Linked DNA regions of Arabidopsis thaliana. The protein of the gene in region 2 interacts with the protein of the main gene of each other region in a pairwise test. Each region holds a gene or a part of one and is shown on either strand. Other genes may lie near its edges.

Region 1 (15,205 bases), on a different chromosome or scaffold from region 2:
AAACTTTAGACATCTAATAAGTTCTAGTAAAAGTATTAAAAATGGTATTAAAAGTGAGATGCAAAATTTTCAACTCGTACATATATTTAATAATTATTAAATGTAACAACAGACAGAAAATATGTTATTTTAAGGAATTTGTGGGTGTCATTGTTGTTGACCAAACGAATTAAGCTACAAACACTAGAAACAATTTAGTGCAGTGGAGTTGCCGACTTAGTTTAACAAGTTATTTATTTATTAGTTTAACCAATTAAAGAAAAAAATTTGGATTTGTTCGATTACATCAGTACTCTTGGAAGGGTCTGGTAATAAACTAATACGGATCAATAGCTGATGTATTAAGGAATCTTTGATCAAAAATTAAACATAACATGTCATCGTATTGGTGACATACGAATAAAAAATACTAGTGATCTACTAATTAGTGATTAAACATTGAAAATGATTTAGTATAAGTTTCTCAACGTACAAGTTTAATACGTACGGCCTGTTTTACGTAGAAAAAGAGAAAGAAGGTTTGATCGATCAGGTGATGTCTTTGGATTCTATATATGAGAAACTTTCAATGAGTCGAACAAATAGATATCTCGAGGCAAAGCCAAATTAATAAATTAAAACATAAGCCACAACAATGTTGTCTATTCTCTCTTCTCTTTTATCTCTCCTTTTTCTGTTTATCATCTCTTGTTTCTTCATCACAAGCCATTTTTGGTTCCCTCTTTCCTTGCCAAAAATACTCGGATTCATCAAAATCACATCTTCGAGAGACGATTATGACAACGAGCAACGGTAGTTTCCTAATTTTTCTAAAACATACTTAGGTTTTAGTAGTTTCCTGATGTACAGTGGTCATAAAATCTAAGCTTCTCATTATGTTTGTTGGCTTCTCAAATCATATCTAAGGAATAAAAATTTCATCATATATAACTAAACAATCTAGTCATGAAAATGGAATTGCATAAGATTCAGTGAACATTTCATACGAAATTTTTTATTTAATGATAATCATCTACTAAAGCCAGAGAAATTAATTGTTATACTTCCTCTGTTTTGGTGTTCAAAAAAAAAAAGAAAACGAAAATTTCCTCTGTTTCATATAAAAGGCAAAGAAAACGAGCGTGACCAAGACTATAACTAGTTTGCTTAGTAGAAGATTTTGGCAATGTTTCCAAAATTGTCAAATAGACAACATGCGCTTAAGATTCACAGTTTCAATGCTAGATCGTTCCTAATGTAGCTTTAGTTTTGTGTTTGTGTAGTGACGAGGGAACTTATGTGGTAGGAGTGGAGGAGCTACAAAGAGAGCTGATGCCAAGACATGTGGCAGTGATAATGGACGGAAACCGGAGATGGGCCAAACGGGCCGGATTGCTGACGTCACAAGGCCACGAGGCCGGAGCTAAACGGCTTATAGAGTTCTCCGAGCTTTGCTTTAAATTGGGGATTCATACAGTTTCAGCTTTTGCCTTCTCCACAGAGAATTGGGGAAGACACAAGGTGTGATATTTCAGACTATGTAGCTTACATTCTCACTCAACTCTTGACTCTAACGATTTGTTGGTATTAATAAGATTGAGGTTAAGTGCTTGATGTCTTTGATCCAACATTACCTCAAGTCCAAGATCCAATATTTCCAAAGGTATAAAGTACAACTCAATTGAGCTTTTTTGTTGACAAATGATCTGCTCATGGATTACCAAAATCTTGTTGTTTCAGAGAGGAAACTCGAGTTTCTGTTATCGGGAACCTAACGAAGATCCCTGAGTCTCTCCTCCGAACAGTCCAAGAGATAGAGGAAGCTACGAGAAGCTATAAGAAGAAGCATCTCATATTGGCAATAGATTACAGCGGGAGATTAGACATCTTGCGAGCTTGCAAGAGTATTGTGAAGAAATCAGAAAAAGGGTTGATCCGAGAGGAAGATGTAGACGAGGCATTGATCGAAAGAGAGCTTCTGACAAATTGTACTGAGTTCCCAAGTCCTGATCTATTGATTAGGACAAGTGGAGAACAGAGGATTAGTAACTTCTTCTTGTGGCAACTTGCTTATACAGAGCTCTTCTTCTCGCCGGTCCTTTGGCCTGATTTCGATAAGGATAAGCTTCTAGAGGCCCTGGTTTCGTATCAGCGCCGGGAAAGACGATTTGGCTGTCGGGTTTGATCCTCTGCTCCGCTCTGTTCTGTTATGTTCATCTGAGATTTCTATCAAACTACTTGTTCCACAGTCAGAGATCATTATGCTGTTGTAACTTTATGTCGGTAAATTGAAAATTTGCTAATAAAAATCAGCGGTTACTTTGTCGTTACTTATCACTAAAACAAATATCTTGCAACACAAGGAACTGTACTATCTCAAAAGCATAGTTCTTGAGGTATATTACACATCATATTCAGTTTTCATTACACCATTTGCAAGAAAATCAAGATTTACGACCACCAAAGCGTCGTTGTCTCTGCTGAAACGACATCAAAGCTTCGATAAAACCGCTTCTCCCAAAATCAGGCCAAAGTTCTTGAGCAAAGAAAAGCTCTGTATAAGCCAATTGCCACAACAAGAAGTTACTCACTCTAAGCTCACCACTCGTTCTTATAAGTAAATCCGGGTAAGGAAACTCAGTACAATTCGTCTCCAATTCTTCCTCAATCAGTCTCTCGTCTATCTCCTCAACTTCGATTTCGCCATCTTTCACTCTCCTCGCGATACCTCTACACGCTTGTAAAACATCGTATTTCCCACTGTAACCAACCGCTACGATTAGCTGAAGCCTCGTGTTGTTCTTTGTAACTTCCTCAACTTCGTTAATCACTCTTAAAAGAGATTTCGGAAGTTTCGAGGAATCTCCAATGATCGATATCCGAACATTGTTCCTACATATAAAAGATTAGCTTTTGAGACATAATTAATCAATCACAAACACTTCTTGATTACAAATTATACGCAATACTTACTTGGCTAAGTTCTGAAATTCTGTTTTGAGTGATCTCTCAAATAAACTAAACAAGAAATCAATCTCAATCTGCAGAGGAATAAACTCATAATCGCATCAAAATCTGAGATTTCGAAAAGAAACCCTAAAATTTAAAAATTAGGTTTGTCACTCACTCTTGGTCTAATCCAATTATCAGTAGAGAAAGCGAAAACTGTAAGGACTTGAATTCCCCATTTACCACAAAGCTCAACGATCTCTTTCAAAGCTTCAACGCCAGCTCTGTGACCATCCCAAGGTTGAAGACCACGATTCTTCGCCCATCTTCCGTTTCCGTCCATTATAATCGCCACATGTTTCGGCATCAGCTCTGCATGTAGCTCTTCCGGCAGAGTTTCTTCTTCCTCCGCCGCCGTAAACGAAACATCCGATTTGGAAGATTTGACTCCGAATCGGAATCCTCTGTTTTCCTCGAATTTTGGCGAGAAAGAGAGAAAGCTATCTCTACTTAACCGCCATCGCCGCTCTAAATCTCCGGCTTGATATCGCCGGAAATCGAAGGAAGTGGGAGTAGGAACTCGTAGAGATAACATCTTAAGAGAATCGATTTTACTCTAGGCTTTGTGATAGGTTTGATAGCATAGGGGAAGTATTGTATTATAAGCAGAGAAGGTTGGAACTTTCTTTCCTCCACAGATGGTTCTGGTAAGTGTTTGAAAACGACGACGTGTTTTGTCGGTGTGGAAGAAGATGATGTTGACATGTTTTTTTCGAAATTGAGCGCCACAAACAAACTTTATCGTTAAGAAATTCCAAGCTCCTGTCTTTTTATTTCTTTTTTGTGTGGTTTATACGAGTTCCTATTCGTCCACGTCTCCTAATTTTCCTTTTCTTAAAGAAAATAAATGCATTAAAACCTCCTCCTAGAACTTCAACTAATGTTGTTTGTCAACATACCAGCAAAGAACCTCAATTAATGTTGTTTGTAAGTCAAATTTAAATATGGGATAAATGAAAATTGGGCCATAGCCCATTACTTATCTGAATAAAAAGGCCCAATACTAGTATTGCTCGTGAGAGCCACGTGAATGGTGCTTCCGGCCGGTAATTCGCCACGTCTTAACCTCTCCCGCCACGAGATAGTTAGTTATATACCAATATACCCTCACATTATTACAGGAACATATTACAAGATCTGGAGGGGGTATAATGGTAAATCTAAATGGGAGTAAAAGTGTTTTTATCCGCGTAAATAATTAAACCGGTCATCGACCTAACCGGCTTTAGTTTGTGTCCGCTGCGTCGTATCAAACCCAAAAAGAAACAAAACTGTTTGATTCGTACTCTCTTCCTTTTGTCGGGTCGTGAGATTTTTACCGAAAATGAGTTCAACGAGGAGCAGAAGAAAAAGGGACCCAGAAATCGTCATCGCTAGAGATACAGATTCCGAGTTAAGTTCGTCAGAAGAAGAAGAAGAAGAGGAAGATAATTACCCTTTCTCGGAGTCGGAGGAGGAAGATGAAGCGGTTAAAAATGGAGGGAAAATTGAATTGGAGAAGAATAAAGCCAAAGGGAAAGCACCCATTACCGTTAAGCTTATTAAGAAAGTTTGCAAAGTAACGCTATTCTAAAAACCCTAACTTTTCTAATGAGTTTTCTTACTTGGCTTATGATTTCAAGTTCTGAGTAGGCTTATGTGGAATAAGTAATGACTTTTGATTTTGATTTCGAACATATTAGAAGTATTCACTGTATTGGTTCCCATTATAATGGTGCCTGAAATTCACTTTATTGTTTATTAGTATTCTTCACTTGGATGCAGAGACAGAGGATTTTGGTGTTTGGCTTTGATTGTTTCGTATCTGTTGTTGTTTCATGGTGGTTTTATAGGTTTGTAAACAGCCTGGCCATGAAGCTGGATTTAAAGGAGCAACGTATATCGATTGTCCTATGAAGCCTTGCTTCTTGTGTAAAATGCCTGGTAAAGCTCCTGCTATTTCTTATCGATTCTTGCTTACATGTGAGCTTTTTGATGATGGTGAGTGGAGAAAATGTTAATTTACTCAATGTTTTCGCTTTCTACTGCATCACTTGAAGGCCACACCACAATGTCCTGTCCTCATAGAGTGGTTACTGACCACGGAATACTCCCAACTTCTCATAGGAATACAAAGAACCCTATTGACTTTGTGTTCAAGCGCCAACTCCAACCGAGAATTCCTCCTGTAAGTCCTTACGTGTTCAAGCGCCAAACATTTTTTGATACCTGATGAGATTTTTTGACTGGATCTTTTCTCTTTTTCCTTTGCTGGACAGATTAAACCAAAATATGTGATCCCGGATCAAGTTCATTGTGCAGTTATTAGATACCACAGCAGACGTGTTACATGTTTGGAGTTCCATCCAACAAAGAACAACATTCTTCTCTCTGGAGATAAGGTTTTACAATGAAACAAAAGTCATACGTAACTAATTTTCTGCGTTTATTTTCTCATTGTTTTTATTCGATTCTGTTGTTGGTCTTATGGTTAATGCTCTGAAGAAAGGGCAAATTGGAGTCTGGGATTTTGGAAAAGTGTATGAGAAGAATGTGTATGGAAACATACATTCTGTTCAAGTTAATAATATGCGGTAAGTTTTTAAATCTGGCTTTCAATCTTACAGTATATGTTGTGGTTTTACTTTCTGCATTATAGTATCTGGAAACAAAAGCTCATGTCTTTTGTTTTATCAAATTTATCTTCTTTTGTTGGTATTGCAGGTTTAGTCCCACAAATGATGACATGGTTTATTCTGCATCCTCTGATGGAACAATTGGTTATACTGACCTGGAAACTGGAACTTCATCAACTTTGCTGAATCTCAACCCTGATGGATGGCAGGTCACACCATCGTCTCGTTTCTCTAATTTGTCTTCTCTGATTCATTTAACTTATTACGACATATCATCGGTTTATAGGGCGCAAACAGTTGGAAAATGCTGTACGGTATGGATATAAACTCGGAGAAAGGTGTAGTGCTTGCTGCTGATAATTTTGGGTTTCTTCACATGTAAGTGATTTCATCCCCTTGAACTGTTTATAGACTAGCCTCTTTGTTACTGTTTTAAATGAGTGCCAAACTGATTTTCTCGTGATTGCTTTTGTAAAAGGATCGATCATCGTACCAATAACAGTACGGGTGAGCCTATTCTGATACACAAGCAAGGAAGCAAAGTTTGTGGCCTCGACTGCAACCCTGTCCAGCCTGAGCTTCTTCTCAGTTGTGGGAACGATCATTTTGTAAGTCTATCAAACAAAACCAAGATCATGCTGTCACTTTGGATTCGTTTAGATGTTTATCTGAATTCTTTCAGAACTTGTTTAATAGATTTTCCTGGTTATGGTTTCAGGCGCGAATCTGGGATATGCGTAAACTACAACCTAAAGCTTCTCTTCATGATCTTGCACACAAACGAGTAGTCAACTCTGCTTACTTCTCTCCATCATCAGGCACGAAAATCCTCACGACGTGTCAGGACAACCGTATTCGAATATGGGACTCTATCTTCGGGAACTTAGATTTGCCAAGCCGAGAGATTGTTCATAGTAATGATTTCAATCGGCATTTGACACCATTCAAAGCTGAATGGGACCCTAAGGTTTGATACTTTAACCTCTTTCTCCTCTCCTTTTCCATCAATTCCCCTTTTTATTCAACATTTGTTATATGTTCATCCGCAGGATACCTCGGAGTCACTCATCGTGATTGGTCGTTACATCAGTGAAAACTACAACGGAACTGCTCTTCACCCAATAGATTTCATTGATGCAAGCAATGGACAATTGGTTGCAGAGGTTATGGATCCAAACATCACAACTATTACTCCAGTCAACAAGTTGCATCCTCGCGATGATGTTTTAGCTTCAGGAAGTTCAAGGTTCGGGATTCATTACCCAACAGCTACAATAGTAACCGTTGGTGGACACTTTTTCTTATTGACTGATCTCTCATTGGTGTGGATTTGGTTTCGAAATCCGGTTTTGCAGGTCGCTGTTCATTTGGAGGCCACAGGATAATACAGAGATGGTTGAGGAGAAGAAGGATAAGAAGATTATCATATGTTATGGTGACAGCAAGAAGAAAGGAAAGAAGCAAAAGCGTGGCAGCGATGATGAAGACGATGAAGATGACATATTTAGCTCTAAAGGCAAAAACATAAAAGTCAATAAGTATCAAGCAAAAACAACCAAGAAGACAAAAACTTAATATGAGTGAAGAAGGTCGTTATGTATAACTAACTTACTCTGTTTTTGTAGGTTTTCTTGTACAGAGTCTGTTTTAGTAGCATCCCCTGTTTTGCCTTTGGCGGCAATTTTGCTTCTTTTTTCTTTTGGGGGCGCATGATCGGCTTTTGTATGGCATTTTCTTGAAATCCTTTTTGGTGATTCTTAAGTATGAATTGTAGTAAGTATGTGGAATGGATCAATCTTGAATCTTCTCTTCAGTTTTTACTCTCCCCTGTTTTCTCTTACTTGTTGGAATGATTCTTGATCTCGCTGAGTGAAGAGTGGAGACATGGGATGAAATGTCTTTACTCTTACGTCATCTTGACAGCCAAAACTCATCTGTACTACGTATGCAATAACATCGATAAACAAACTGAGTCCAGCTAATCATCTTGTTGTTGTCTCAAGTATGGTCTGCCACTACTTCATCTTATTATATGTCACAATACATTCACATTTGTTCGGACGCGTTTACGAAACCTGACTGGAATTTTGGTTATCCACTGCTTGGAATCTAACTTAGCTATTGCATTTCACTGCAAAGGATTTATGTTTAATGATTTAGCTTAAAAGGATTTGTGGAAAGCTCATTATTCAAACAAACAAAACTTACATGAGGATTATTGATCAAGTACATATATACCGTGATCTACATTGCTAATGTACAACATGTGTTACAAAGGAATGAGTTTTTCATCTCTCATCACATCAATCCAATACAAAACCGAATCTAGGGTTCTATATTTCCTCTTAAACCCAAACCTATCTACTTTTTCTCTTTTCCCAAGAAGCTTAAACGGACATCTAAACAGAGCATCCAAGAAATACCAATTCGCCAAATCCTCAATCTCTGTCCTAACAAGCTTCTCCTTCACAACAATCTCATCCCACACATGTTTTCTCTCAACCATCTCTCTCCCAAACCAGAAACCTTCATCAAACATGGTTGTTTCGTTAACTTGTACACCAAGTTTCTTCCCTATTTCCGGCCAAATCTCCTTCCAAGTAAACCCTACTCCATTAATGGCGTTAAAAGCTTCCCCTTTCTCGCGTACTTTCCCACTTGTTGCAGCGAATATATGCTGCTCCGCGACTAAATTCGAATCAGAGCCATCTATGTAACTCTCTTCCCAACATTCTCTTGTTCCTCCAAACACAAAAGGAAGATTCAAATACTTACACATCGCTCCATAAACACAAAGACTTCCCATGAAGTTGTACAGAGTTCTTGAAGAGCTTCCCATTAGCAAACCAGGTCTTTGAACCGACCAAACAACGGAACTACGAGTGATCTTCTCCTTCAGCAAGTCCTCCAAAACATAGTAGAAATTCTTCCCAGAGCTCTTTCTTGGACACTCCTCGCTGTAATAATACAAACTCGAACCTTCTCCACGAGCCATTGTCTCTTCCACCAAAGACACATAATGCTTCATCCCCGTTTGAAGCGAGAAATGCTTTAACCTCTTAGCGTTTGGGAGAATCGCGTCCAAAGCGTTCATCAGCATCGTCTTGTTCTGTACGCAACATTCGTCGGTATCCAATGGAAACTCACCAGACCACGTGACCCAAAACACGTGACTCACGATGTCTTGTAATGGAGACAACCTCTGTTTAGTCTCAGATGCGTTAAGCAGATCGCAGGAGATGAAGTTGTACATCTTCGTCATGGAATTGATCTCCGGGTTACGCGCTACGCCGTAGATTCTCCATCCTGGTTTAGACATTAATAGCGTCTTAACAATCTCTCGACCCACAAGCCCGGTGACGCCAAAGATTAACGCTACATTCTCGTCTACTTCGTTTCTTCTCATCAAGCTGCCATTTTCAGACCCCATTGTGATTATTAGTGAGTTATGGACTTTGATCAAAGCTTCATATAAACGCTTAGAGTAAAGACAAAAAAAGTTTGTGGGACTGATTCAACGTGTTTTAGGATAGTTTCAAGACTCGATGCTTACCTGTTTTAAAGGCTATGATAAATTATCCAAAGCAAGTTGCTTTGAACACAGCTACGATGTAGCATAACGAAGCAACATTTGTTTAAGATAAAATAGACTAAAGTCAAACAGTGTTTTGGGTTTCATGTTAACGTGTTTATCAATTTAATTTGTGGTTCTGGAATGTGTTACGAAAGCAACAGTTGTTACAATAGTTTTTTAAGGAACCGTCGTGTACAGCATTTTGTCCGGTTCTCAATCGGACGGTCAAGATTTTGCGAGAGGCAGAGTCTGGCCCGTGGTTGCTGGCCGGCTTTTAAAATTATAGTACACTTCAAGTGGGTCTCTACTCTAATAGTATTCATTTTAGTTAACAGTCTCACCGGTCAAAACCGAATATTAGCCGACAACTTATTCAATGAACTAGTTATATATACACTCGTGAGTCGTGATGATTGTTTTTTCATAACTAGAACTCATGTACCCGAAACCAAACCGATTTGAGATCTAACTGTCGTTCGATTCATGCAGTGGCCAAACATGTATCATATCGAATTTCATCAAATGAAACAAGTTGACCAATGGAATTGAGAAAGTAAGTTTTTGGATTAGCGAAATGGAAGACCATAATTTACATTATCAAACAACTTTTTGATTGATCAAAATTATTCTTCTGTTATAAGTCAAAGTCTTTGATCACGTATAACGTTTTAATATGAGAAAATTGAATAACTACCCTGTCTACGTTGAAGAAACTGAAAGGGGGAAATGGGTACAGTGTATCTCTTGTCCCAAAGGACATTGAAAAGCTAAAAAACTAACACACTTGGCTACGTTTAAGGCTTTAAAATGGACCATGTTTTGTGGTAGACCTACACATTACTCTTCTTTCAATTTTGTTTTCCTCCGTATTCTATGCATTGAATAGACCCACTTCTCATCTTTAAATTTTCTGTGGAATTGTGAAAGAGTGTTCTACTTTGGCGACAACAAAAAAATGTTTCTTGGAACTTGGAAGAACTTCAATAAAACGGCATGGAGTTTTGACTTCCAAGTTAGAAACGGAGTGTACCTCAAGAAAAGGGATCTAAGCGTAAATAACTAAAACTAAGAACCCTAAAAGAAAATACATGATTATGAAAGGACTGAATCATAAATGCCTGTCCTCCAATGTTGAGACGAATTGAAAAGGAACCAGAACAACTACTATCAACGGTGATCGATTTCGCCGGGAACGGAGAAGAAAACCCTAGATATGGCGGAGAAGCTTGCGCCAGAGAAGAGACACGATTTCATTCACAATGGTTTCTCGCTTTCTCTATCCCCTCGCTCTATTTCTCTAATTTCAGCTGATTCCATTTCACGAGATTTGGTTTGAATGTTCTTCGATTTCCGATGGTTATAGGTCAAAAGGTATTTGAGTGGGATCAAACCCTGGAAGAAGTGAACATGTACATAACTTTGCCGCCAAATGTTCATCCAAAGTCATTCCACTGCAAAATCCAGTCGAAACATATCGAAGTTGGCATCAAAGGCAACCCTCCCTATCTCAATGTCAGTTTCTTTCGCTATCTTTCAATGTTTTTGATCCGTTTGTCTCATAAATCTGAGTTATTCGATGTGGTATATATAACTCGATTCAATTGTCTAAATTTTGTCAATTTTCAGCACGATCTTAGTGCTCCTGTGAAGACTGATTGCTCGTTCTGGACTCTAGGTACTCCATTTTTTGTTTTTGTGTCTGTATTGGGTGCTTGTTTTTGATGGTTAGGTTTCTGTTTTTAGACCCGTTCACTATTGCTAGAGAGGATAAACTGAACCTGGAAATGTGATCTGAGTTTGGTATAAATAGTGGGACATATAGTTTGGAATGTGGAAAATTTGAGACTAATGGAGGGATGATGGAATGTACAGTATATTTTGGGTTATATTATCAGCGTATGTAAGTTACTGGCATAGTTTTTTTAGGTTCATAGTCTGGCACTGATTGCTAATCTGGATTGTTATGTTTGATTTGGCAGAGGATGATATAATGCACATTACCCTGCAGAAGAGGGAGAAAGGGCAAACATGGGCATCACCGATTCTGGGACAGGGTCAGTTAGATCCTTACGCCACTGATCTTGAGCAGAAGCGGCTCATGCTCCAGAGGTTTCAAGAAGAGGTTAGCTACCTGTAAAAGTCCTCTTGGTTTCATATGGTTTCTGCTTTTGAAAAAATAAATGTTGTTTTCTAGGTCTTCTAATTGATCTCCAAAGCAAATCTTAGGCACCACTACTGAGTAGAATGAATCTATGTCAAAGTATGATTACTTTGCCATAAATGATCGTTTTGGATGAGTCATGTCCCATGATTGTTTTCTTTGTTCAAGCTCTCTTATTTTGTTTCTTATGTCTCTCTCAAGTAGTGAATCTTTTGTGTTCATGGATAAACAGTCTGCATAGAGCTGGTGATAGTAAACCTATAGTGTAGCCGGATTTTTATCAGTTTCATGAATAAACAGTCTGCATAGAGCTGGTGATAGTAAAGCTATGGTGGATGAAATTGCTCAGCCTTAGTCTAACCGGATTGAGCAAATTAACATGGCAAGACTGCACACATGGGTGTGATTCATGTATGCCTTAATGGCTTTGTCTTATTGGTTTTGTTTCTGCTTGTATGCATGAGTTTCTATTTACTTTGTATTGAGCTCAAGTATGCTTTTCTTTACTCTTTCGACCAACTTTCCTTTTACATGTTCTTTCTCTGTTGGTTTTTGCAGAACCCGGGATTCGACTTCTCGCAAGCTCAGTTCTCGGGTAATTGTCCAGATCCAAGGAGCTTCATGGGCGGTATTCGTTCTGACTAAATAAATAATAGTCCCACTCTTGTTGCTATAATAGTATGTCCATTATAACAAACTCAAAAGTCACCATGACTTAAACAAAATGTCTCATGTCTCATAAATAAACCCCCTGACTCTCTGTTTCTATAACTCGTAATGGCAATCATATAAATCGTCTTTCGTCTCTGTTTAGTTGTCCTTTTCTTCCCGACAACAGAATCGGAGCATCTACTAAAAGTCCACTGAGCCGCCGTGCGCTTCGAATCTTGTTTTGGTATGTGACAGCTTTTTCAAAAAGAAATTGTCTTGGATAAGTGGAGGAGAATAAGGAATTCGAACAAAATAAAATTGGAGAAAAATGATCATATTCTCTATTTTATTATTTAACATCATTTTATTTCGGTTACAAAAAAAAAAAGGAGGAAAATTAGGCGCGCGTCATCTCCCTCGCGACACATATATCATAAGACAGAGAGCAGGGAACGAATCTCAAGACGTTACGTATTAGCTTATAGCCATTAGTTTTGTCTCTTCTTCTTCTTCTCGTTGGTCGGCTTCTTCGTCTTACTAATTCCATGATTCTTCTTCTTCCTTCTGCTTCACTTTCTCGATGATCCTCTGCACCAGCCGCGATCATGACGTTGAATCCTCCTCCGTCGCAGCAAACGTCTCACTCGCCGCGTCGGATTCCCAATCGCCGCGTTCTCATCGTCGGAAATTATTGCCACGACGTTTTAATCCAAAACGGATCCGTCGTAGCTGAAACTCTCGGCGGCGCCGCCTCTTTCATATCTAATGTCTTAGATTCTTCCTCTGTCTCCTGCGATTTGGTCTCCAAAGTAGGACACGACTTCAGATACGAGGTCACCCACTCTCCGATCGTGGCTCCGGAGAAGGAAACAACAGTTTTCGAGGCGTATTTCGATCTGGGAATCGATGGGATCGGTCATGCTGATCGGGTGTTGAAAAGAGTCTCTGCATGTGATCCGATTCTTCCTTCGGATATACCCGATTCGAGATTTGATTTCGGAATGGCCGTTGGAGTCGGCGGCGAGATTTTACCGGAGACGCTTGAGAAAATGGTGGAGATCTGTGACGTTGTTGCTGTGGATATTCAAGCTTTGATTAGGGTTTTTGATCCTGTTGACGGAGCTGTGAAGCTTGTTGATTTGAAAGAAAGTGGATTTTATCACATCTTGCATCGAATTGGATTCTTGAAAGCTTCGTCAGACGAAGCTCTTTTCATGGATGTTGAACAAATGAAGCACTTGTGTTGTGTGGTGGTGACTAATGGTGAAAAAGGGTGTAGGATTTATCATAAGGATGATGAAATGACGGTTCCTCCGTTCTTGGCGAAGCAGGTGGATCCTACCGGTGCCGGAGACAGCTTTCTCGGAGGTTTGATTGTTGGGCTTGTTGAAGGTTTGACTGTTCCTGATGCTGCATTGTTAGGGAACCTCTTTGGTTCCATCACTGTAGAGCATATTGGTCAGCCAAAGTTCGATTTGATGATGCTTCAGGTTTGTTTTTTGGTCTCGTATTAGCTTACTGAATTGCATGCTGTGAGAGATTTGCAAATCTAATAGACAGTAGTAAGAACTTTTAGAGCCGATGATAGTGATATGCAAATGTCTTTAACATAATCCTAGCAAAAGAACTCTGTTACATCTTGCAGCTTACTTTCAATACAGCCAAACCTATATCTTGCGGGTGAACTAGAATCTGTATTTGATGTTGATAGGTTTCCAATCTGAAAATGTGTCAAATCTTCACAGTTGTTGTTTGAGATTCTGTCGAGTCACAGCTGCTGAGAGAGTCTTTTCTTGTTTTACTTCATTGTTAATCTAGGAGCAGTTTCATTCAACATAGGGTAGATGCAGGAAAAAGTGTTGTTTAAGCATTCACCGAACAATGTGGTTAAGCAATTAGAGAATTCAAAAGTATGGATCTCTTGATGTATTTGCGAGTGTTTCTGTGTATCTCTTGTAGTTGTATCTGTTGAAATGAGGGCGTTATTGGATAATAATTGAACCATTGGCTAGTGCAAGTGAACATTAAGCAAATTAGAAGATTTATAGCGTTTGTGTTTGCACTGCACAAGGATTCATCCCTTTCATCGGTTATTTCTATGTGACATATGTCTTTGTGATTTGCAGAAAGTCAAGGATGAGGTACAGAGAAGGAAGAAGCAGTGTAACATATCTAGCAGCCATAACAACGATCACAACGAGTTCCATGAGCGTCTAAGTCCAGCTCGGTTTTCATGCGTAGACTCTCAACTTCAACCAAAGTTATTGGTCAATGGTCACTCTTGTGATGATCGGTCCCTGTGAATACGAATCTTGAATCACCTTTTTTTTACTAACAAAGCTCTTCTGAGTTGTGTAAGCTTGCTTCAACACGTTGATGAATTTTGGAAATTTTAATGTATAAAACGCGTTGACCAGCGTCTTCAAACGCTCTTTCTGGTCGTTCCCGCAAAGTTTGTTTATCAACTCCGCGTTTCAAAATTCGAAATGAAGATGTCAAATTTTGTTTTAAAAGTTTTGGATAAGATGATTTGCTATTCGCATGTTGCCACATTATCTAGTTAATATAAAAACCAAAAACAAATCTGAGATAAAATTACGAAAGTCAACGTGGGAGATCTAATTTTGACTGGTGCATAGTTGAACCGGTTCAATATATGTACAATCAGGAGGAAACCGTGTTCGGTGTTTGATTCGTGCGCGTGGATTTAAAACGTGGTCACGATCAGGCGCGTGGATTGACGTGGCGATTCCGATTCCCAATCAAAAGTCTGGACGAGCAAAAAATTTCCTCTGATATTGGCATCTCCATTACTAACTCCTGATTTACGGTTAAAACGCCTCTTCCCTCTCTCCGACGCTTCTCGTCGGAAATCTGGGTTTAAGTTTCTTCTGCAGATCGGAAGAGATTCTATTGAAGCGGCGTTGACACGATTTCATCTATAATTGTACGATAATGAAGCAGAAGAACCAGCATAAGAAGAAGAAGAAGCGATCCTGCGCCGCGAAACCTTCCGGTGATGGAACGACGTCGGACGGGAACAAAAAAGATGTGGAGGAAGAGAGGAAGGACGGTGAAGGAAAGAGGGAGATAGAAAACGTTGGAAAAAATTTTATCGAATCGTTAATGGAAGCCTTTTGCTCGGTTTCAATGGAGGAAGCGATGGCTGCTTATAAGGAAGCAGGCGGAGATCTGAACAAAGCCGCTGAGATTTTA
Region 2 (16,008 bases):
GGAGATGTTTTTCCCGATTAGAAGATACTTTCCCTCATTTTCTCGGGAATATACATATCTGGAGAATGTGAAGAAAAAGTCTCATTACCAATAATAATAAGAATTGGATTTGACAAAGTTTGAGAGTCTGTGTCAGACTTTATTTTAGAGGGACCAGGTCGGTTAACTGTCGTTGTCATGAGATCTTTCCTGTCTGTCTTTTTATCATTCAAACAAAAAAAAATGAATTTATAAAACTTAAACACAAACAAATAAGATCACTTTTGATTTATTTTATTTTTTAAATAAGGATGTGCAGGAATGAGATTTTCTTCTAAAATTGTGGGAGTAAATGAATGAATCTAGGTATGATTGATTTCATCAAAATCAGAAAACTGATTGTTTCTAGAAAAACATGCATTTGGGGTATTTTGAAACCACATGAGTATATGATGAGTTATTATAAACTAGAATTGCGTTGTAAACGAAATAGAACAAATCTTCTTTTGGAAATCCGTATACTTTAGCGTAAGAAAATGGAAGAATTTGATTTGGACTCGTATCTTTGAAGTATATATAATTCAGCATTTACATTATTGAGATTTATCTCTCATATGTTGTTTTTGCTTTTCCTCATTCTATGGACTTAGCTGCAAGTTTTAAATATCTATGGTAATGAACATGGTCCAGCCTATACAGCAACGAATATCTATCACTATTTTTAATATATATACACAATCAAAATTCAAAACCATGAGTTGCTTGCATATCCCTGTGTGGTCAAAGTCAAGACTGAACTATATTAAAGAGAAGTATCTTGCAACTAACACCATAGCTTATTCAAGACACAGCGACATGGAATATTACATTTCTTAGTTGTTTTAAACAGCCATTGGTTTTCACAACACTTAGTTAAAAAGGAAGTAAAAAAAGAGTCTCAGATAGTTTTGATTAAAACATTTTTTAAACTACTGACCGCAGCAACCGCCATTGTTCTGTTGGATTGGCTGACCTTTCATTTGGACAGTTCCAGGACCAGATGTCTTGTTTGCATTCGTTTGGCTTCCCATTCTGCAAAGAAAATGAGTTACGATATGATTAGACTCAATTCTCCATGTTACATAAACTAGACTGAATCAGCAAATGTCGATACAAGATATCAACCATATGGAAAATCTATCAACAGAAGTTAAGTACACAAGCTTGAGGAAGCTACAAGGATACAGCAGTTAGTTTGTTGATTTGCTTTCCATTAGTCATCAAGTCTAGAATAGCACACTTCGGATTTGAAACTTTACATGAATAGTTTATTTCATGAAAACAGTGGAGAATCAAGATGCTTTGCAGCAGAAAAAAACACAGAGAATGATTTGATGTATATAATGGTGATCAAGGAATATAGTAATAGAACAAGTTTACTAAACCTAATCTATGTTAAATCTTCGCAGAAAAAATTATGGCGAAAGATTAAAGATAGTGAACATACTTCTTTTTTATCTCGCCAGCAATAGTTAAGAATGCCTGTTCAACGTTAATAGAATCCTTGGCACTGGTCTCAAGAAAGGGAATTCCAAGCTCATCTGCTAAGGCCTGCAGTGATTTTGAGTAGATGAAATGTAAGAAAACCAATTCACAGTTGTATCAGGAGTAACAGCTGCTGCAAAAATAAGCAATTTCTACTCGGTGGATTCAGATCATCTAGCTTTGGGAATTTGGTCAGAGATCATCTACATTCATAGCCGTAAATTCTGGTATAACAATCTCAATGGTTGTAATATCATCACATGGTTAAAGATATGCGAAACCATGAAATGATCAAATGAGGAAAGGGGAAAGTACCATGCAAAGGATGTTATGCATAAGATAGAAGCAAAATCATAAATGGAAAAATTGCTGGGAACTTAACTAGGGATGTGAGCTTACCCTTCCAGTTTCGGTGGAAACAACTTTGCTTTCAACCATATCATTCTTGTTACCGATTAAAAGCTTGCAAACACTCTCATTGGCATATCTATCGATCTCACTCAACCACTGCTTCACATTGTTGAAGCTTTCCATCTCAGTACAGTCATAAACAATCTGTTGCAATTATCATCATTAAGGTTCATCACTTAAAGGGTGGATTACAACATTAAAATGATTCATATTCCAACATTACAATACCAATCTCAGACTAAACCACTTAAAATGAGAAATGGAAATAGGGACATAACACTAGTCTAGGTAAGCCAAAAAAAAGCAAGTAAGAAAGCGAATATAAAGATTGCTCACAATGATTCCATGAGCTCCTCTGTAATAGCTGCTAGTGATGGTCCTGAAACGCTCCTGTCCAGCAGTATCCCACTAAAAGAGAGCAGCAACAGTAAAATTGAGTAAACACAATCATCCAAAACATATTATATAATTGAAAACTCACAATTTGCAGCTTAATCGTCTTCCCATCCTGCTCAATCGTCCTAATTTTCTGCAAAACCAACCACATTATAAGTAAGTTTGGGATAAAACAATCTCGATCATGTATGTAAACAAGGTCAAAGAATGAACTTACGAAGTCAACACCAATGGTGCTTATGTAGCTGTCAATGTAAGCATCATCCTAGAAATAGCAACAAATCCCAAAATCACGAAACAGTACAAAAGAAGAAACCTAACACGAGCTAATTCTCGACGACGGAATCAATTAAGAATCAAAATCAAGTCAAACTCACAGCGAATCGGAGAAGAAGACACGATTTTCCAACAGAGGAGTCACCGATCAACAAAAGCTTGAACAGATAATCGCTACAACAACAAAAAATCGAAATCGGTGTGAGTAAAATCGAAAACGAAAGAATGGCTCTCAAGGAGGAGAGAAACACTTACTACTCGTTGCTCATGATTTAGCTGAAGACTGCGTTTCCGAGATTTGATTTTCCAAGATGAGAACAACTTTCCGGGAAAAAGCTCTTTTTCTCTATAATATAAGAAACAAAAAAAAAGAGAGGTTTGGGTTTAGGGGGCGTGTCAATCAATTTACATGAACATTGAACCCCACGACTTCTACTGGATTTTTTTGTTCCCAGTTTTTTTAATATTTGTTTAATTCCTTGTTGTTTTTCCCGAGACAATAAAGAAGCTTTGACCTTGTCTCACTGATTTCTTTACGTGTGTGTGTCTTCTTATTTGGGCTTTTTGATAAATGGGCCGAGCTCAAAATCTTGTCTATCTAACTTAACCGTCGTTAACGTCCTGGCCCTGTTATTAAAGGTTTGGATTTTATTACTCATGTATATGTCTCAATTTTTATTTTTATTTTTTTAGAGAAGATAATTTTACATAAATTTGATTTATAATCCGTGATCAAGATGTGAGGAATTAAATATAATGAAGTATTTAAAGCGGATTAAAAAGGTATATTGAAAAAGAAAAGAAAAACTTTGATTGAATATGCATGGATTTTCCAATTTTATATGACAGTATATTTTATCAACAAAATCATTCTCTTTTTCATACTCCATTCATATCATTTTTAATTAAGTCATATTAATCCTACCAAAAGTTACCTTCTAATTTTACGTTTCTTCTAATTTCCTTTTCTGGCAAAAAAGAAGATATTTCCTCAATTTATAATATTTTTTTTCCATCAAACTATTTTTTTTTATATAACCAAAAAAAAAAAGTGTAGTAACGCTAACGTGTTTGCAGCTTGCAACTTGGCTAGCAGATTTAAAATAAGATAAGTTCTAAAAATAAACAAAACATATATAGCCAAAAACACAAAATTAAAAACACGAAGATTTGTTTCACACAATACTTGGAATATCCTAATTATAAATAACTAAAAAGATTGAGAAACGAACACAAATCTCCACCTTATACAAGAATCGTAAAAGAGAAAAAAAAAACAGAGAGAGATCTTCAAAAAGATGGCGATCGTTAGCCCTAATTTCTGTGCACCGTACCCTATCGAGTTGGGAATCGTACGGAAGGTGATGACTTTAACCGATGGTAACTTCGCCGTCACGGACGTTAACGGCAATCTCCTTTTCAAAGTCAAGGAACCTTTGTTTAGCATCAGCGACAAAAGGATTTTATTGGACGCATACGATACTCCAATCTTGACTTTGAGAGAAAATGTAAGTATACGTCTATCAACTACAATTCTTTATAACTTGCATGGAGAGGCACAATTTTTTCATGGTGATACAAAAAAAAAATTTCATTATGCAAATCATATATACACAAACATGCTCTTATAACTTGCATGGAGGTACACTTTTTCAATACGTCTATCAACTAATTGTAAATAATATCAAAATCATCATCACTCATTCGAGTATGTTAAATCGTCATAGATCATCCAATAAAATCTGATCCACAACTTTTTTTTCTTATAACATAAAAATTGTAGAAGGTGAGCTTGCATGATAGGTGGCTAGTATATAGAGGGAAGAGTACAGACCAAAGTGATCTATTATACACATTGAAACGATCTTCAATGATTCAAATAATGAAGCCAAAACTAGACATCTTTTTGGCTCATAATAAAGAAATGAAGATTTGCGACTTCCATGTTAAAGGAAGTTGGATCGACCGGTCTTGTGTCGTCTACGCCGGCAAATCTGATGCCATTGTTGCTCAGGTAATTACACTGATCAAATTGTCTGTAAATTGTATAAACCGGACTAGCTAGTTATATGATCGTGTTAATTGAGTCATTGTTGTTGTTTTGTTGTTTTTTTCAGATGCACAAGAAACATACGGCACAAAGCATATTAATTGGGAAGAGTAATTTTTCGGTTACTGTCTATCCGAATGTTGACTTTGCTTTTATAGTTTCTCTCATTGTAATCCTCGATGACATTAACCGAGAAGATTCAGAAGACTAGATTAAGTTATCAACTAATTTCTTTTTGTGCGTTGCAAATCTAAATAATACTCGAAAACATAGTACAGTATATGTTAATTATTACAATATTTTTAGTGATTTATTTCACCAAGGCCTATCAATTTATATCATTATAATAGTGAAACCGTATTTAAGAAAATGTGCGAAAGACAAATCCAAACTTTTTTGTGGAGGTAGACAAACATCTTCAGGTATCAAAAGTCTCAAAACTTAGTTTTACCATCTCTGAAGTTTCAGCCATTGGAGATTCCTTTAATAGAATCTAAATGGGGGTGGATAAAGAAATGATATGCCAAAGTGATGCGTCAAAAAACATACTCGGATCTAAATATGGCAACATGTTGGGTGATGATGAGGAATTGGAACATTACTTGTCCCCATTTCTTTCCAATGAAATGTGTCTCCTTACAATTAGTAAACTAATTCTATATATCTGGAGCAAGATAGTTCCTCTGCTATGAATATATCATTTAGTTATGTTGGATTTAAACACAAAGGGAATCCAACATAAAGTAACTAAACACATTAACATTCGTTTTGTTCACTGCATCAAACATAATCTTTTCTTATTTTAATTCTTCCAGATCCACCTGCTGCACCTTCTTCGCCTGCAAATCAGAGAAAGCACAAATGTATAAGTTTCTCTATTTAAGTTTTTTGGTATTTCAACTCCATTAAATCTTCCAAATGTTGAAAACCAATAATAAACAATTGATTACCTCATTCTTTTCTTCACGCCGAGCATTTTTCTTCTTGGTAAATTCTGATGTTTGAAAAAAAAATTACAACGAATTTGTTTTTTTTTTGCTCTTTACCACAAAACAGCAAAAAAACTCAACATTACCCCAGAGATGGAAGCTGAGAGAGGTAGCCACTAAAAAAGCCAATAAACGACGTCTATTTGTCTTCGCAAACATTTCTCTCTCTGTTAAAATAAGCAAATCAATTACACTCACGATAGTTTGATAGATTTCTTGCCGAATCAGAGAACGTTACCATCATATTTACTACGCAAAGAAGAGAAATTGCGTCGAGACACAACCGATTTCTCTCCGTGAATTGCCTGCGCTATGACGGATCTTAGAAGATTCGGCTGCGACATGGTCGGAAATAGGGTTCGGTCTTCTTCGTCTCCTCCTCTGATTTTGTGATTTTCTTTCTCTTCCAACCAAAGGGTTTAAATGGGCCTGCCTATTCCCTTATCCGCCTATTTTATTGGGCCATAGCCCGATTTTTTCCTTTACCCGCCACTTTTTATTTTTACTTGTTAGCCCAATCAAACCCATCTGATCAAAGTCTTTGACTATGTTAGGGAATTTTTCCTTCCGTTTCTACACGTTCATTTTTTCACCACACCAAACACATGAACGGCCAAAAAGAAAATGCTCATTGACTCTTTGTGTGATCACTGGTCACCTAAATGGGCAATGATGCTTTAGAATTACAAAAACAGACACAATAAACATAAACAGACTTTTTAAGAAGATAACTCTTTGTAATTTATTAAGAAAATAACGACAATTTCGAAAGAACATAAAGGAAAGAAAAGAAAATATTGAACATCTAAATTAGCTCTTAACATAGTTCAAAGCTTTTGGATATGAAGATGTGTAAGAGAAGTTCATGGATATAAGTCCCGACACAAAGTTTTGTTGGGTTATTCAGTTCTTTGAACTAGTGTTTCGCTGTCTGAATATATCGACCCCTAAATAATCAATGGTGCTCTTAATAAGTGCAACATTTGGCTTTGAGAGCTTCACTCGAACAGCGTTTATCTGATGGAATTTTTCAAGCGTTTTGGAAGCAATAAGTTCCGCGACTGTCTCCAAAAGGTTTCTTGGTGACCCTTCAACAATTTCCTTAGCTAGGCTGCAAACAATATCAATTATGTCAACAACATAATCATAACTATACAACTTAAAGATGAACGCAAATCGGGATACTATGTATTTAGCTAACCTGAAAATGTCGACGTAGCTAATTGTATCTTCTAAGTTGTCTGATTCACCAGCCTTTTTCAGACTCACCCACGCATCAATGTCAACAAGAAACATCTGCCCCAGTGTCCTTTCTTCAGCAATCGCTCCATGGAAACCGTAAAATTTCAACCCTTTTAGTATCAGTTTGTCTCCAAGATTTGACTCTGGTGATTATGTTCCACGTAAAACTGCTTATATAAGTCTTTGAAACATAAAGCAAGAGTCTTGTGACAATTCATAAACACAAACATAGGTTCTGCCAAAATAATTCTACAGGAATGCAAACAGAAAAGAGACTAAAGATTAAAAATCTAAGCAAGGACTATCTTAAATTATTTTGTTGACTTAAACACAATTTAAATCTCTCAACCTTAATCATCCAGCTGACTCTAAACCAAACTATAAACCACCATAACTCGAGATTTTTTGCCACCGATATACGATTTTAAAAGGAAATTTGTATATACCTCGTCGCTCCAACGTCGCCGGAGCCGTGGTCTCCAGTGAGCTATGCATCTTACTATTCGCAGCAATAGATTTTGGATTTAGATTGCGTCTGAGAGATGGAGAGAAATCGAAGGATATCAGTTTAAATTTGAAGGAAAACGAAGTAGATGGTAATGGTGGCCCAATCTCATGTATTTATAGGCCCAAATTTTAAGAAATATTTATTATTTTCTTCTTTTTTTGTTTCAATAATATATATTACCTGTTTCGACGAAAAAAAATAAAAATATTTATTACCTTTGATATATGTATGTTTTAGAAAATATATTAATTTCTTTTGGATTCATTTCCTTTAAAGAATTTGTATATTCATTCATCACTATCCATTAAAGAGTAAAAGTTAAATATTATAGTAACTGGATTTTTCTTCTATCAAAGTGTTACTTATAAAATTCTTTTTTTTTTAATTAAATATAATCCAATTTTTTTCTCATTTTGTCTATTTAATCCTACTATATTATTTGGGAAGTACATTTTAAATGTAACCTTAATTTTTGTAATTAATTACATAGGTGTGCCATTAAAAATAAAATTTCAAAGAGTAAATTAATTCATCTCTTTAAGGATTAAAAAGTCAAATACTAATTTAATTAATTTAATTTAATTAGAAAAACGAAATACATTATTAATTTCTAAAAAAGTAACCAATCAAAATCAACATATTAGATTTGATATCTAAATTATCATATTAATTTTTTATTAATTATTATACTTCACTTCTCATCTTTATATGATTCTATTTTTCCGAAACAAATAATATCATCATATCATCGGTATATCAAAAAAAATTAGAATTATTTTGCATATACCATGATTTGAATTTTTAAAAACGAATATAAACTGTTTTATACATGAAAAAATATTATAACGGGTTAAAAATAGATTTAAGAAAACTTTCGACTGAGTAACGGGTCATAATTTGTATATTTATTCAATTTCATACATATTATTTTGAAAATTTATAATCTTATATACTACAATAATTAATAACATATTAGATATTTTTAATGTGTATGATGTGATTCAATCTTTAATACAAGCTATAAAATCTTAGAATTGACAGGTTTAGATCGATATTAATACAAGATGGTATGCTATAGATGAAACTCTAAAATTAACAATTAAAATACAAGTGTATAATCTTAAACACTAAACAATATAAACAATATCAACAAAATATATAATACTCGCAGTGTACTATACATTTAAAATCAAATAAAATAATATCATATATTTATAAATCATCTTTACAAAAAAAGTTTTTAATTTAACTAAAATATAAACCTACCCGCGGTATACCGCGGGTTAATATCTAGTACCTAGTATAAATCAATTTGATTGCTACTTAGTGCTAATATTAAAGGAAAATGAAGTTTCACTTTATTTCAAGGGATCCACTTGACATTTTGCTTTATGTAAATTTTTATTTAAATTATACATATTTAACATTATAATTAATTGAATTTTAGAGATCTAGTTTATTGTGTGATAAAGAATAAAGTTTAGTGCTAATTTATAAAATAATAATTTATAAAGTCATGACATGTATAAAAAGAAAAAAAATCTTTCACTATTGTGGCTCCATTTGGAATTTTGTTTTAGTTAGATTTTATACACTAATTGCAAAAGTAACACCTAATTTTTTTTTTTACAAAACTCGTTTTTGGACCAAATTTTAATCGGATAAAACGGATGACCATGCGTAATGCAAAGATACCGTATGTTCCTTTAGTGTGAAGCATAACTATGACCAGTGACCACCACATTTAGTGGCATGAACCATGTTGTCCCATAAATAATCATGTAAAGTGAAACTAATTTTTTGGATAAATAATAATAAGTGCAAGAAGAAAGGTAAGTAAGTTTCAATTAAAGAATCATGAGACAAAAACACATGGTCTACAGATTCCAACACATGCAACCAAAATTGAAGTAATTTATTTTTGTCTAATTGATAAACAAAAGTAAAAGAAAAAGACAAAAAACGGAATTTGTTAACGCCGTTAAGCAGCCGCTTCCCCCACCCGTGACGTTGAGGATATGATCAAATCAAAGAATTCAATATAAACCGGATTTATTAAACCACGGTTCAATTAGTCCACGCATTGGTTTAACGCCGGTTTGGTTCGTTCTATCCGTCAGCCACTGGGCTCTATCGTTAGAGAAAGAGAGAGAGGGACAGATCTGTGAAGTTGGGATCTTTCTTTTTCACTTTCTTCGTTGTCTCTCTCTGTCTACACGCTTGTGCTTGTGTTGTGTTTGTGCGCCACTTTCTATCTCTACTGTTTTCTTCTCTCGTCACGGCTTAACTTTTGCAATCTTTTAGCTGAAGCTAATTTCAACAAGTTGTTATTTTTGCTTTCAATTTTCTTACTTTTTGATCTCTCTTTTCCACGAAACCTCTTATAATAGATTTCTCATTTCTGGGTCTAAAATCTACTTTCTATTTTTGGGCATTGATTTTTATTCTTAGATAAACTAGATTGAAGGCAAAGAAACCATTTTTTTTTTTTTTTTTTTCTAGATTCTCTCTAGGTTTCCCTAAATTTCTCAACTACTCCTAAAGAGTTTTGTTACGTTTCTGTGTGATTCTCCTTTTTTTCTTGACGACTCCAAATTTCGTTTTTGCGTAAATGGTGGTGAAGATGATGAAGTGGCGGCCATGGCCGCCGTTAGTTACGAGGAAATACGAGGTGAAGCTTTCCGTGAAGAAGCTTGAGGGTTGGGATCTGGTGAGGGAAGGTGTACCGGAGAAAGATAGATTAACGGTGGAGATTCGTTGGAAAGGTCCTAAGGCGACATTGGGATCTTTGAGAAGGTCGGTGAAGAGGAATTTCACCAAGGAAGCTGTGGGAGAAAGCGATGTCGTTTCATGGGAAGATGAAGAGTTTCAGAGCTTATGTTCACTCACTTCTTACAAGGACAGTTTGTTTTATCCTTGGGAGATAACTTTCTCTGTCTTCACCAATGTAAGTTTTAATCAGTATCCGAAGATTTGAAATTTAAGTTTTAGATTCAAATGTTGAAACTTTGGAAATGGTGAATTAGGTTGTAGATGAAACCCTAGCTGGATAATCATCAAATCATGAGACTCTTTGAATTTATTGGTTGTAAGATTTTGATACCAATTAATGTCTCAACCTGTTTGATTCAGCTGATTCTAAAGACTTTAAACTAGACCTTGATAAGATTCCTTCTATTGTAGAGGTTGAGAGTATAGGTAATTGGTTCTGTTTGTTAGTGTCATCCTCAAAGATAAAGAAGATTGATATTTGATTTTGTTTCTAGGGAATGAAGCAAGGGCAGAAGAATAAAGCTCCTGTTGTTGGAACGGCATTTTTGAATCTTGCTGAGTACGCGTGTGTGACCGATAAAAAAGAATTCGATATAAACATACCACTTACGCTCTCTGCTTGTGTGGCCTCTGAGACACATCCTTTGCTCTTTGTATGGTTACTTCTCTCTTTAGACACTTCTCTACTTTGTTGGCTGGATATTGGTTTTTTGACCTTTGAGAATCTCTTGTTCCTTTAGGTATCATTGAGCCTGCTTGAGCTTAGAACTACTCCAGAAACATCAGACTCGGCAGCACAAACCGCGGTTGTGCCTTTGCCTCTCCCATCTCCATCGCCACAACAGCCTACTGAAACTCACTCAGTTGAGAAGGAGGATGTCTCTGCAATCAAAGCTGGTCTCAGAAAAGTCAAGATTTTCACAGAGTTTGTTTCTACAAGGAAAGCCAAGAAGGCTTGCAGGGAAGAAGAAGGCAGATTCTCAAGCTTTGAATCATCAGAATCGCTTGATGATTTCGAGACAGATTTTGATGAAGGCAAAGAAGAATTGATGAGTATGAGAAAATCTTTCTCTTATGGACCTTTGTCTTATGCAAATGGTGTGGGAACTTCATTAAACTGTGGCGCGAAAGTTAGCGATGAAGACGAAGATTGGGTTTATTATAGCCACAGGAAATCAGACGTTGGAGCAGGTTGCTCTGATGCTGAAGATTCCGCTGCGGGTTTGGTGTATGAGGCATCACTGCTTCCACGGCGTAGCATATTGCCATGGAGAAAGAGGAAGTTGAGCTTTAGGTCTCCGAAATCCAAAGGAGAGCCTTTGTTAAAGAAGGATAATGGAGAAGAAGGTGGAGATGACATTGATTTTGATCGGAGGCAACTTAGCTCAGATGAAGCTCATCCTCCATTTGGGGTAAGGTCTTATAAGTAGCATCATTATTCAGTTTAGTTAGTTACAGTTTTTCTCAGTTTTTGAATGTGTTTTATATGCAGAGCAAGATTGATGAAGATTCATCTGCTAATCCACGAACTTCGTTCTCGGAGTTTGGAGAAGACAGTTTTGCGATTGGAAGTTGGGAGGAGAAAGAAGTGATAAGCCGAGATGGACACATGAAGCTCCAGACAAGTGTCTTTCTTGCTTCTATTGACCAGAGAAGCGAGCGAGCAGCTGGTGAGAGTGCATGCACTGCTCTTGTAGCGGTCATTGCGGATTGGTTTCAGAAGAATGGTAATCTCATGCCAATCAAGTCTCAGTTCGATAGTTTGATCAGAGAAGGTTCTTTAGAATGGAGAAACCTCTGCGAAAACGAAACGTATATGCAGAAATTCCCTGACAAGCATTTCGATCTTGATACCGTGCTACAAGCAAAGATACGGCCTCTAACCGTTATCCCCGGAAAATCCTTTGTTGGGTTTTTCCATCCTGATGGGATGATCAACGAGGGTAGATTCGAGTTTCTACAAGGCGCAATGTCTTTCGATAGTATTTGGGCTGAAATTATTAGTCTGGAGGAAAGCTCGGCGAATGGTGATAGCTATGATGATGATTCGCCACCGCACGTTTACATAGTGAGTTGGAACGATCACTTCTTTGTCCTCAAAGTTGAAAAAGAAGCTTACTATATCATTGACACACTTGGAGAAAGGCTTTACGAGGGTTGTGATCAAGCTTACGTTTTGAAATTCGACCATAAAACCGTCATCCACAAGATTCTTCACACAGAGGAAGCAGGATCCGAATCAGAACCTGAATCAGAGATTTTGAGCAGAGGGAAGGAGTCATGTAAAGAGTATATTAAGAATTTCTTGGCGGCCATACCAATTAGGGAGTTGCAAGAGGATATCAAGAAAGGATTAGCCTCAACCGCGCCTGTTCATCACCGTTTACAGATCGAGTTTCATTACACCACAAACGCAGAGATTACCAGTCTATAAAAGCCTAGGCAGAGTTGCTAACGTTTTGTTGAGTTTCTTGTAAGTTTTGTAACTAACTTGTGAATGTGATTTAGAGTTAAACCAGTTTGTATCTAACTATCCAAGGAATTTACATTTTTGCTCGTTCTATTTCGCTGTCTCTTTTTGGTTCATTATGTTTTTACAGCTTAAAATTTTGGCATTGTACCATAATCTCAAAATCTTCAGACAAAAAGACAAGGCCGGGCATGTTTTATTCAGACAGTATTGTTCACTCATCACAATACACAACATGAATCAATCAAGCGCAATCAAGCGCAATCTCACAAATCCATTTGATCAAGAAGGTTAACATAAGAGTTACATGAAGAACATTGCCACGAAAAATCACTGCTGCAATTGATCGTAGACATTGAAAATAAGCCAACCTTCAATGGCAGCAGCTTCAAGACGATCATTAGAGCTGGCTTCATCCCACTTGGACTGAATAGAATCAAGCCTACTCATGTCATACCAAAGAATCTTGTGAGCTAATTCTCTGGTTCCAAGGAACTCAACAATTGGAGTACCTCGGGCTTTCGCAGCTAGTTTCCCAATCTCCAACGAGCTTCGGATCACAATACCGTGGTTTTCTTTAAGCAAAGCGAGGTCTTCTTGAATCTGGACACCGACAAATGTGACAAATTTGGAAGCAAAGAAGCGATAAAGATCCTTGAGATTATCACAGAACGGGTTCGGCAGGCGGAGGAAGAGACAGAAGTTTTTAGTGCTAAACTTCACTGAGCATAGACGCCATTCGGACTTTGTGCTAACTGATTTGACATCCCAATACACATCAAAGACAATGGACCGGTTTCCATTCCAGACGGAATCTTCAAGGATCTTGGAAAGGTAAGGAGAGATATCGGTTGTTGATTCAACATCAATGGCTTTGGTCTGGACCCAAGAATTATCAACCATCATAAACCCTTGCCCATCGAATGAGGCCATTGTGGTCTGAAATCACTGGAAACATATTCACATTACACATTAGACACAACATCATATAGATCCATTAGCTTGGAGAGACACTCAGAATCAATACAATTCTAATAATCAGTGATCTGTTTTTGTTGTGAATGTGCTCAGCGATGAATCGAATGAAAAACTGATAAAGCAGCAAAGATTTTCAATATGTTTTCCAATTCACAAAGACATTGAAATATCGATTTTGAGTGTGTAGCAGCAATAGAATGACCGATTCAAGAAATGTGTAGACGCATTCAGAGCTAATTGGGTTTTTTGCCAGAACAACAAATTTACTCTAATCAGCGTTTGGGTTCTATGAACACAATACAAAGGTACGATTTTTATAAAGTGTGGATTAGACAGAGGAAAGTCCCCAAATAAGTTCATCGGATGGAACATGCTTTTGTTGATTTGGATTGAAGATTTATATATAAACATGAGAAAAATCTTTCAATCCAAAAAGACAGAAAAGAGGAACACGAACCTTGAGATTTCGGTGCGAGAAGGCTGATCTAGTAAACGGAGTCGGAAGAGAGAAAGACTGTTTCTGGGTTTGTTGTCGGAAGAAGAAGGAAAAGTACGCAAGTGAAAGTACGGTCCTGCCCATTGAAGGAATGACACGTGTCTTTACCTACGGGTATCGCACGTGCGAATGTCGCCATACGTGTTCCGTAGTAGAAGGATTTTAGAAGAGTCAATAGAACATTATTTTTTTCTTCACTTTGGTTGATTTTGGTTTAACATTTTGGAAAACTCACTCAACTCCTTGAGTATTGTTTTCGAAAATTTTCCTTGTATATTCATAGCATTTTGTTTCATATAAAACAATTAGTTATAGTCATATAAATAAATTGTTATTAAGCACTTGGAATCTTGGATTAAGTACAAAGAGCACATTTCACAAGACCATTCTCATTACACTCTATGCATCTCTTCCAGGTTTCGTGCTCTGCAACAACTCTCGACCTCCCATTGCATTTCGAACATATCAAAAATCTTTCGTTCTCGCACATCTCACACTGCCGCGACTTAGCTGATGAAAACACTTCTAGAAGCTTCTTGAGCTTCTCGTTTTCGTTAAGAGACACCACCTCGTCTGCTCCACCAATGTACTTACACTTTATGAAGAGCCTAGGAGGTGTAACTTGCTCCCCAAGCAATCTCCACATCTCTTCTTTGTACTCACAATCCATTGAAACATCTCTTTCTCGGAATGATGCCTTATGATTCTCTAGCAAGAATCTCACTCTTCTGCAATCTTCGAAAGTCTTTCTCACTCCTCGTAGACTTGTTGTGAAGAAGCAACAGAATCTTGCCCACCAGCTACACATTTCTCTTCAAAAGCCCACAAAAGCTCATCAAGATTCTGTTGAAGTCGTTTATCCTCAGAAACCTCAATTGTCGTTGGCGTAAGACACTCTTTCTCATCTATTTGATGAAAGATTGTGTGATCAAGATTGCTTTTGTGGAGAGCTATCGCCTGCTTCAAGTTCCCAAGAGATGTAATAAGCTTAAGTTTCTTCACCATTCTCTCCTTCATATCCATCATTGCTTCAACCTTCAACCTTTGATAAGAAGTTGTGAAAGAGGAGAGGCAAAAACCTAATCAAGATTGACAAACATGAGACTGGATAAGAGAAAAACGAAATGAGTACTCAACTGAACAAAAAAGCTACTTTGTGGGTTAGCTTTTCAAAAGTTTCTCCTTTGACGGGTCATTGTAGTACTAAAGAAGATAACCGATAAGCTAAATTAGGGTAACAAAAAACATTGAATTTACCCAACTTTAGCCCAACTTTGTCCAAATACATAGCAAAAGGGGAGGAATGTCCCTTTTAACATGTTGGTATATTGAAGCTATGAAAAAATTCATCTTTTCTGATAAGTCATTAATGGTTTACGTTTGGTTGAATGATGATGTATGTCACGTCTTTATAATTCCATGAACGTGGATGTAATGATGTACTATTGGTTAAAGTAGGCTCAGCTTTAAGGTTGCAACTAGAACTAACCACAGCTCTATAAAACCTAATCAATAATTCATTACTTTGTTTTTTCTATAAATGGGGGGATTCATGAATGGTCCAGAATGAGAATTTTCAAAGGGTTTTTGATCAACAATTATGTATAGCAGGAGAGTGTATTTTATACAAAATAAATGAGAGTGGTTCCATGGTATAGAACAAGATGGTGTATCCCGTCGAGCAAATCAGCTCTACATGTCGGCCACGGAGGATCCAAATCCAATATCAAATGAGAACTTGATGCAAGTTAACTCCTTCTTGCGTCCATCAAGCATCTTCATTTTTAGTGAGTATGAACCCTATGAGAAAGAAAAGGATTAGACTGGTCCTTCCTTAGATGCAGAAACACAAAACGAAAGTTTGGTATGACAAACATATAACTATAGAAACCATAACCAGCAAATCTTGACAACAAG

What was found.
Region 1: the proteins of ATFP8 (region 2) and AT5G58750 interact in a two-hybrid assay, tested with the Arabidopsis thaliana proteins (one large-scale study listed by BioGRID).

Annotation. Positions count from the first base shown.
Region 1 is NC_003076.8:23,722,714-23,737,918, reverse strand, and holds AT5G58750 (NAD(P)-binding Rossmann-fold superfamily protein), read right to left. Parts: upstream 9,332-15,205; 5' UTR 9,034-9,331; coding exon 7,873-9,033; 3' UTR 7,777-7,872; downstream 1-7,776. Other genes in the region: cPT5 (Undecaprenyl pyrophosphate synthetase family protein), read left to right, coding at 635-792, 1,263-1,500, 1,575-1,642, 1,720-2,164; cPT4 (Undecaprenyl pyrophosphate synthetase family protein), read right to left, coding at 2,424-2,871, 2,953-3,020, 3,107-3,523; DDB2 (damaged DNA binding 2), read left to right, coding at 4,313-4,546, 4,821-4,911, 5,028-5,155, 5,247-5,369, 5,473-5,561, 5,692-5,812, 5,890-5,981, 6,082-6,211 and 3 more; AT5G58740 (HSP20-like chaperones superfamily protein), read left to right, coding at 10,391-10,439, 10,541-10,689, 10,804-10,852, 11,157-11,299, 11,897-11,983; Mik (pfkB-like carbohydrate kinase family protein), read left to right, coding at 12,595-13,479, 14,116-14,292; AT5G58720 (smr (Small MutS Related) domain-containing protein), read left to right, coding at 14,945-15,205.
Region 2 is NC_003074.8:3,708,543-3,724,550, forward strand, and holds ATFP8 (Ras-related small GTP-binding family protein), read right to left. Parts: upstream 3,076-16,008; 5' UTR 2,856-3,075; coding exon 2,842-2,855; intron 2,761-2,841; coding exon 2,688-2,760; intron 2,576-2,687; coding exon 2,528-2,575; intron 2,444-2,527; coding exon 2,396-2,443; intron 2,323-2,395; coding exon 2,251-2,322; intron 2,059-2,250; coding exon 1,903-2,058; intron 1,570-1,902; coding exon 1,466-1,569; intron 1,051-1,465; coding exon 948-1,050; 3' UTR 589-947; downstream 1-588. Other genes in the region: AT3G11720 (Polyketide cyclase/dehydrase and lipid transport superfamily protein), read right to left, coding at 1-58, 139-179; AT3G11740 (LURP-one-like protein (DUF567)), read left to right, coding at 3,885-4,094, 4,370-4,600, 4,704-4,847; AT3G11745 (uncharacterized protein), read right to left, coding at 5,434-5,475, 5,587-5,630, 5,712-5,792, 5,864-5,969; FOLB1 (Dihydroneopterin aldolase), read right to left, coding at 6,529-6,736, 6,827-7,010, 7,314-7,362; AT3G11760 (structural maintenance of chromosomes flexible hinge domain protein), read left to right, coding at 9,987-10,322, 10,642-10,800, 10,888-11,559, 11,640-12,581; AT3G11770 (Polynucleotidyl transferase, ribonuclease H-like superfamily protein), read right to left, coding at 12,948-13,550; AT3G11773 (Thioredoxin superfamily protein), read right to left, coding at 14,447-14,788, 14,857-15,117; AT3G11780 (MD-2-related lipid recognition domain-containing protein / ML domain-containing protein), read right to left, coding at 15,784-15,891. UniProt on the Arabidopsis thaliana protein: Protein transport. Regulator of membrane traffic from the Golgi apparatus towards the endoplasmic reticulum (ER).